Neurospora crassa OR74A: one gene and its partner. The protein of the gene in region 1 binds, or shares a complex with, the protein of each later gene. Links are inferred from orthologs where the notes say so. Each region holds a gene or a part of one and is shown in the gene's direction. Other genes may lie near its edges.

Evidence for each region. The genes of interacting proteins can lie anywhere in the genome.
Region 2: NCU08299 (region 1) and NCU00952 share a complex: the UniProt entries of both Saccharomyces cerevisiae proteins name them as parts of the mitochondrial large ribosomal subunit. The link is inferred for Neurospora crassa OR74A from reciprocal best matches to the Saccharomyces cerevisiae genes MRPL3 and MRPL44.

Annotation. Positions count from the first base shown.
Region 1 is NC_026504.1:2,488,086-2,492,434, forward strand, and holds NCU08299 (mitochondrial 54S ribosomal protein YmL3), read left to right. Parts: upstream 1-1,518; 5' UTR 1,519-1,808; coding exon 1,809-3,128; 3' UTR 3,129-3,907; downstream 3,908-4,349. Other genes in the region: NCU08300 (uncharacterized protein), read right to left, coding at 440-509, 624-806, 915-934, 1,019-1,021. UniProt on the Saccharomyces cerevisiae protein: Component of the mitochondrial ribosome (mitoribosome), a dedicated translation machinery responsible for the synthesis of mitochondrial genome-encoded proteins, including at least some of the essential transmembrane subunits of the mitochondrial respiratory chain.
Region 2 is NC_026501.1:6,595,464-6,598,676, forward strand, and holds NCU00952 (mitochondrial 54S ribosomal protein YmL44), read left to right. Parts: upstream 1-1,240; 5' UTR 1,241-1,534; coding exon 1,535-1,715; intron 1,716-1,880; coding exon 1,881-1,996; 3' UTR 1,997-2,562; downstream 2,563-3,213. Other genes in the region: NCU00953 (hypothetical protein), read right to left, coding at 1-137, 239-588; NCU00951 (inorganic pyrophosphatase), read right to left, coding at 2,884-3,109, 3,170-3,213. UniProt on the Saccharomyces cerevisiae protein: Component of the mitochondrial ribosome (mitoribosome), a dedicated translation machinery responsible for the synthesis of mitochondrial genome-encoded proteins, including at least some of the essential transmembrane subunits of the mitochondrial respiratory chain.

The DNA of each region.
Region 1 (4,349 bases):
GAGGCCCACCTCGATTAAATAGACAGTCGAGGTTTCCACAGCAGCTTACCTTGTTGCTTGCGTTTACACCAAAACATGCGAAGAACATTGTTAAGGCATGTTCACGATTCAAAGTCATGGAAGGTGGGCTCTTCTCTGTGAGTTCACTAGTATTCGCCAATAGTACGAAACGGTAAGAATAGAGGTAGTTTCCTCTATAATCCATTACAGAACTGATCCACATCAAAGTTAGCTTTATTCACGACGTAGCCAGGCTCTGGAGCACCAACGCAAGACGGCCAGCGGAGGGTAACCGACGTTGAATGTATTCCGAATATTGCATTACTACCACCAACCGGCCGGCCTCAACCAAGCCAAGATGTCCTGTTATTCCATCAAGCCTTTGGAAGCCATGTACTGTATGACCAAACGGCCGGGGTGGCAGGGCCTATGCCCAAATTTACTTTTTCTCCTGTGTCGTCCCGTTCTCCTTTTGCGCCCGCTCATACTCGATAATCTGTCTGCTCCAGCTAGTGGAGGTAATATCGGTTGCGTCAGCTTAAGAACATCCCCGCGGTCTGCGCTCGCGGAAAACGTTACGCATGTATAAAAATTTGGATGGGGGTCTGTCTGCCAGGACATACTATCTGCTGGGATAAAAGCGACCAGGCTCGGGCATCTTGTGACGGTACTCTTTCTCGGCGCTAAGCTTCCAGACTGCGGCAGTGATGAGGAAGACGACGCCACCGAGAACAGCCGTGTTCTTCTTCCAGTTGGCCGGCTGGGCGTACCAACCACCCGAAGGCGACCAGACGTGTTTGGGGTAGCTGGAGTGAAGGGCGAGGCAACGATTAGGACGGATCCATGACACAACGCAGGCTGGGTTGGACAGAATGCGCGGAGGGTTTGCGCATGTCGAGGGCGATGAAACTCACGGAACTTGGGGACCGCCGCCCTATAGACAGGAAAAATAGAGAGTTAGCAGACACAAAACATAGTAGTGATGATGGCTATTCTAAGCAATCGGGTGGATACGCACCATTGTGATGAAGTTTTGGGATATGTGGTGAGGTAGGTTGGACGTTCAACGAGGAATGATTCTTTCCACCTCGCAGTTAAGCAAGATCGGTTTGTACTGTCAACTTTGCGATGCACTGCGAACGACGGCACAATAGTGGTGATGCTTCAGCGGGAACAATTGGATAGAAGGACGAATGATGAATCCGCCTACAGGCTGACGAGGGGCTAAATCGCATCAACCATCCAGGCCTGAAAGTCACCATGTCACTCGTCCTAACTGGGGCCGAGGGCGCATGCGACAGACGGGCGGCGGGCGGCGGGCGGGCAGCTCCCGCTTGTCCACCACAGTGCACCGTATGCTAAACAGACAGCGCAGATAGTGGATTGGGGTCGAAGATGGATCTTGTGGGGACCCTCACTGGGCCAACAACGAATCATGTCAGCCGGCTTTTATGTCTCGGTCTTGGGGGAGTAACCCCTGCGCTTGAGCACTGATTCACGGCTCTGGGTGGTGGGCTTGTCTAGTGTACGGGTGGTGAGCGTTCAGATTGGAGAACTTTTTTTTTCTACCCGTGTTCGACGGCCGGCCGAGTCTGAACGAGAACCCATCCGATCAACGCGCGACTCCGACCGGGATCCCGAGTAGCTTCCCACCCCGCGACCACCGGCTCACCACCTGCCCGTCCGATTTCCCTCACTCCATCCTTTTCTTGGCAGGGCCTCCAGACGGCGCACACTTACGGAACCTGGGCCCCAGCACGTCAACACCCGGTTGTCGAGCCGACCATCACCCATCAAATATATCGCCCATGAAGAGGATAGCAACGCCCAGCTTGACGAGCCGGCTGCTCGTCGCCGCTCGCTCCGGAGTGTCGCCCGCCACTGCCGCCATCCGATCCCGATCTGCAATCTCGGTGCGATCGCAATCGACAGCTGCCCTCGCTCAGCACGATGCATCCCACGATCTCAACAATGATCGGTTCCCCCCGCTTGAGCCCCTCCCCCCCGCGGCCGAGTCCCTACCGTCGCCCCTCCCCGAACGGGCCTTGACCTCGGCCAAACTGGCCGCCCTCCACGCCCGTTTGAATCTTTCTCCCAAGATCCCCTTACAGACATTGGCAAGGACACTGGTCGACGCCTCGGCCGACGAGAACCCGCAGTTCAACAACGCCAACCTCGCCTTCGTTGGCCAGACCCTCATCAACTACCATATTGCCGAATGGCTCCTCTGCAAATACCCCCGTCTACCCCAGGGAATTCTCTTCAGTGCCATGAAGGCTTATGCCGGACCGAAGCCCTTGCTCCAGATTGCGCGGTCATGGGGTGTTGATACCGCCGCGGTGCCCGGCGGCGAGGTGGATCCCGGTCTTCTGCAGTTCGATGCCCTTAAGCCCGGCGTCGCCATCACAAATTTCGGCTACAAGCGTACAGAGCTCGCCTACCTCGAGAAGTTCAAGTGGCGTCGCGGTATGGCCTCGCGTGTCGTTCTCGACGACGACTTTGGTGATGTCGTGCGCAGCGACCCCAAGGTTGCCGCCGATCTGGAGAAGGCGATGGAAGAGCAGGATCAGGACAAGACTCCCGACGAGGAGGAGGCCGAGATGGTCGCTAATGAGCAGGACCAGGACGTGAGCTACGACCGCTACGGCAACCCCGACACCCGGGCCGCTGCTGAGCGGGCCCACGCCTACTTTGTGCGCGCCGTCGTCGGTGCCATCTACGCCCACTGCGGCCGCGAGGCCGCCAAGGCCTTTGTCAAGGCGCACATCATGTCGCGCACCCTCGACATTGCCAAGCTCTTCGAATTCAAGTACCCCACCCGCGAGCTCGCCGCGCTCTGCGCCCGTGAGGATTTCGAGCCCCCCGTGGCTCGTCTCCTCTCCGAGACGGGTCGCCAGTCGCGCACCCCCGTTTTTGTTGTCGGTATATACAGCGGCAGCGACAAGCTCGGCGAGGGCGCCGCCTCCTCTCTCGACCACGCCCGCTTCAAGGCCGCCATGAACGCCCTGAAGGCTTGGTATCTCTACAGCCCTGGCGAGAACCCTCGGGTACCCAGTGATATGCTGGAGGAGGGTGCCAAGCCCTGGACGCCAGCATACATTGATATGGGTGAGGTTATCTCCCGCTAAATGAGGAGGCTGAAACACGGAGCATGGCGGCGGACAGTACGGCAGGGCAGTAGAGAACTTAGGAAGTGTATGAAACGAAAGGTAAAAAGAGAGTCGCAGATGGCCTGCTTACACTCTCGGTTTTATTGGTTGTGCGGCCCATCAACTCGGGATAGGTTCCCCTTGTGGAAATCGACGCAAGAGGATCGAGAGGGAAACAAAACAACGAGTGGATTTTGTTGGTGTGGTCTAAAAGCTCAGCTTACCTTTCCACTCTTGTCCTGTCCTGTTGAGAGCGGGCAATTTCCGTCCTGCGAAGGAAGGGGATATTAAATGGATGGTCCTCTCCCATCCAGTCACTCCCTTTCCTTCCATTGTTTCTTGCTCTTTTTGCCAAAGACGAGATGTTGTATACAGATTTGCGCGCAACGGACATACATGTACACACACGCACACCCCCGCCACATATACCAATACAAAGGGGGGTTGGGACGGAACGGGGAATGAAGAGGGTCTGGATGGTGGCTGCTTGGCTCTGCTTTCGACAAAGAGAGACACAACCCTCGTCGGGGTGGCATCTGTGTCCTTCTTTCTCAGTGTATAATACCAAAAAAGTAGCCGAGGCCAGGGAGAAGGAAGATCATCGTCTGTATGTGTAGCATTAAGAAGTCAAATTTTTTACGAGGCATCAACGAAGTACATGACATGATAAATCCTTCCTCTACGTATTGACTGCTCTGGCATGAGGAGAAGGCTGTGTAAGAGAGAATATGGTACTACGCAATTTACACGCATTGTACAATTCCAGGATGTGTAAGCCCTTGTTTTGTATAACAAGCATCGTAAAGGAAGAAATGGGAATACGCAACCGGCAAGAGTAAAAGACCGGACGACGAGATCGAGCCTGGAAGTTCCTCCCAAGCTTGCGCGCCTTCCATTCATCCAAACTAGAGGTTGTTTAGTATCTATTTTGCCTTGTGCTTTCTTCACATTGCTCTTGTTTATCTTATACGTGAGAGGAAGATGAAGTTGGTGAGAGGGGAGATGAAATGTGGACTGTTCTCTCTGTAGTTGCGTCCTCACTTTCTCACCCCCTCCTGGTACTTTGTCACGACGTTTCCAAAAACACGTTCATCAGAACTTGCGACCTGATGCAAAGGGATCAATGAAGGAGACTTTGACAACTATAGAATTGGCATATTGTTAAGGTACAGTGGTCTAAGATAATAGGGTGCACCAAGG
Region 2 (3,213 bases), on another chromosome or scaffold:
CTGATCCGCGGTCTGATGCGGCGAGGTTGGCGGCGACGGCAACGTAGGAGGCTAAGAGGAGCTGGCGCTCGAGGCGCTGGGCGGTTTCAAGGTTGCGGCGCGCCGCGAGTTGGGCTTTGCGGAAGGAGGTTCGACAGCTGTATTTTTTTGAGACGCAATTTTGTTAGGTACGTTGTTTATCTTCATCTTCATCATCGTCATCACCATCCAGGCTGAAAAGATGAGAAACAAAACTCACCCCTTAAGCTCGGCAGCCAAGCGTTGCGCGCCCTCCTTTAACCTCGTCTTTTGATGTTCCGCCTCACTCCCTGGGCGGCCGGAGCGCAAGTCGATAATCTCCTCCTGCAGCAACTCCAAATCCTCCTCCTCCTCGCGCAAGACCTGGCTGATTTCGGCGCTCAAGTCAGCGGCCTCACTGTTGGTGGTTCCATCGGCGCCAGTGTTCGCGAGACTGCTGATGCTGTTGCTCAAAGGAACGGAACCGGGCTCGAATTTGAGCGTGGCGAGACGCTCGATGAGGTCCTTAAGCTGGCCGGTCGTCTCTTGGAGGGCCGTGAGCCGCTCTTGAAGCGTTTCGAATGTTGACATTAGTGACTTGTTGTATTATGTCGGTATTGCATTCGTAGGGAGTTGACTCGGTAAAGGTAGATAGATATGTGTTGGAAAAAGGTGGATGTGTAACAAATGGTTTCCATGGATCGTAGTCGGATCCCACTTAGGTACCTGGTGTTGATCAGCAGCTGTGCTGTTGTTGATAATTAGTGGAAACCTGGCCTGAAAGGAGAGCACTGTAGCGATGTTCAATGGAAGTTCTCGGTGGGCGTGGCTCTTGCAACGTCATCCTCAAGGTCAATGAAAACGGATCACATGCGGAATTCGGTAACGGAGTTCAAGTTACAACTCGCTGGGGCAAATGGGAGTACGTACTGTTGCGCTGAAGGAACAAAGCACAAACTTACACACTCAGGGCTACAGACTAACACAATGTAATAGAAGGCCAGAAGTGATTCTCTTCCCGTTCAGAAGATTAAAAAGATGTATTATGTCAATTGATCTGATGTAGTGTAAATATGAATGCAAAATCGAGCCTGACACCGTTTGATCCCAGTTGGCTCCCAACCAATCACAGCCCATCTCTCACACGTAGCACGCGCCGTCCCGCATTCTCCGTTTTACAAAAAACACCCCTCCCGGTCCCCGGCGCAATCGGTACGTACCTCCAGTAATTTTTGATCGCATCCCTCCTCCACGCTGCCGGCCGGCGCCAGGCACGAAGACCGAATCGAAGTCCAAATCGCGACACACAAGCTACGTACCCCGTCCGATCCTCCACAGAGACCCGTCTCCCGTCTCCCGCGTCTCCGTATCCGTCCCCGTCCGGTGTGCAGTGCAGTCCCGTCGTCGCAAATTCGCAAAGTCGCAGTCAGGCCTCCGCGTTCCTCCTGCTTCTTCTTCTTCTTCTTCTTCCTCCCCGAACCCAACCCCAACACGACCTCAGGTCACCACCACCACCACCCGAGAGACCTCGCCCAACATGCTCACCCGCTTCATCACCGACGTATCAACGCGCTTCAACCCTTTCTCGGCCAAGGCCAAGGCCGCCCGGCTCTTCCTCTCCTTCCTCCCTCCCAACGCCCGCTCCAATGGCATGAACATCACCACCCAGCTTCTGCCGCGGAATTCCACCGAGACTCCTTTGCTCTACGTCAAGTTCAGTACGTTTTCCCAATGTCTCTCTTCTTGTCACTTGCAACTCTGTCACACATCGACGGACCGCCGTTGCAGTTGGTTGTTGCAATTTGGATCATTCCGGCTGGAAGGCAATCAAGAGTCGTTAGCTGTGAATCAAGCCGTAGTCTAACGTATTTGAAAAAAAACAGAGGACGGCAAGGAAATGAACCTCGACGTTGAGAACATGGGCATCAAAAGCATTGTCGAGGAGGTGGATCGCCACTCTCGTATCCTTCAGAAGCAGGCCGACTTGAACGACGGTTAACCGAATCTCTGTCTTTCTTTTCTTCTTCAAAACCCAGCAATCTCGAGACGCCCTTGTTGTGTTTTGATCCACCAATCGAACTTTGCGGGTAAAACGAGGGAGACTGAGACTAGGAAAAAGGAGGGAAAAGCCACGGGAAGAGCGACGAAAGCCCATCTTGTCTTGATACCCAGACTACTTGGCTTTGGTCCGTGGTACCAAAATGACGATTGACCGGGAGGAGAAGAGGAAAAGTCTGGATATCTAAAGGCACATTCGAATCACCTGGGTAAAGCCAGCGAGCTTGGAGCCGGATACCTGACGACCTCTCTGAGAGATCTGTAAGATCGCCTTACCAGCCAAAAAGAAGAAAACAACAACAAAAGATATGAACCTGTATTTGTATTGGGCAAGAGGTTGTAAGTGTACACCAACAGCATTGGGAGGCGTTAAGGGGCCGGCGATTTTCAGTTGGCAAGGCAGTTTGGGTACCTGTTGTTATAGACATGCGTATATAGCACCTCTGCCATGGATTGATTCACACACATCACGGTACGCCCATTTTGACAAAGTCAAAGTTGAGATCGGCCTTTTTTTTTTTTTTTGTTTTTGTTTTGGCGACCGTGTTTCCTTCGATGGGGAATTCATCAACGGTATCGGTATATTTCAACGGCGAAACTCATGGCGCAAGAATGTCGAGCATCTCCTCGACAAGTCCCTATCCCACGGCATGGACTACAGCCTCAGAAATGGCCAATCTCTGACCGCGCATACCTTGTTGCAAAGACGTTCGACTCTACGCAAAACAACGCATGAGGGTAACACCATGGAGGATTGTTCACGACGAATTGACCAATACAACAAAGTGCCAATAAATTATCTTTATTCTACCTCAACAAACGAACTCTCTAAGCGGAAGCACCGCTGATGAAGAACCACTTGTCGATGGAGCTATCGATAGGGGCAGGGGGGAGATTCTCGTTGGGAGGGAGGGGAGGAAGCTGGTCAGGGGCAACACGGCTGCTGGAGTGCTGGACAGTGACGTTGGTGGTGGAGACACCGCCAGGGGCAGTCTTGCCGGTGATGAGACGCTCCCAGGCTTCGTTGCACTCACGGACGACGTCCATGGCGTACCTGTTGTTATTTGTTAGCCAATGTAGCAGTTGCGGTGACAAAGCGGTACAAAAAACTCACGTCTTGTTCTTGCACTCGCCAGTGAAGGCGAACTGGTTCTCGGG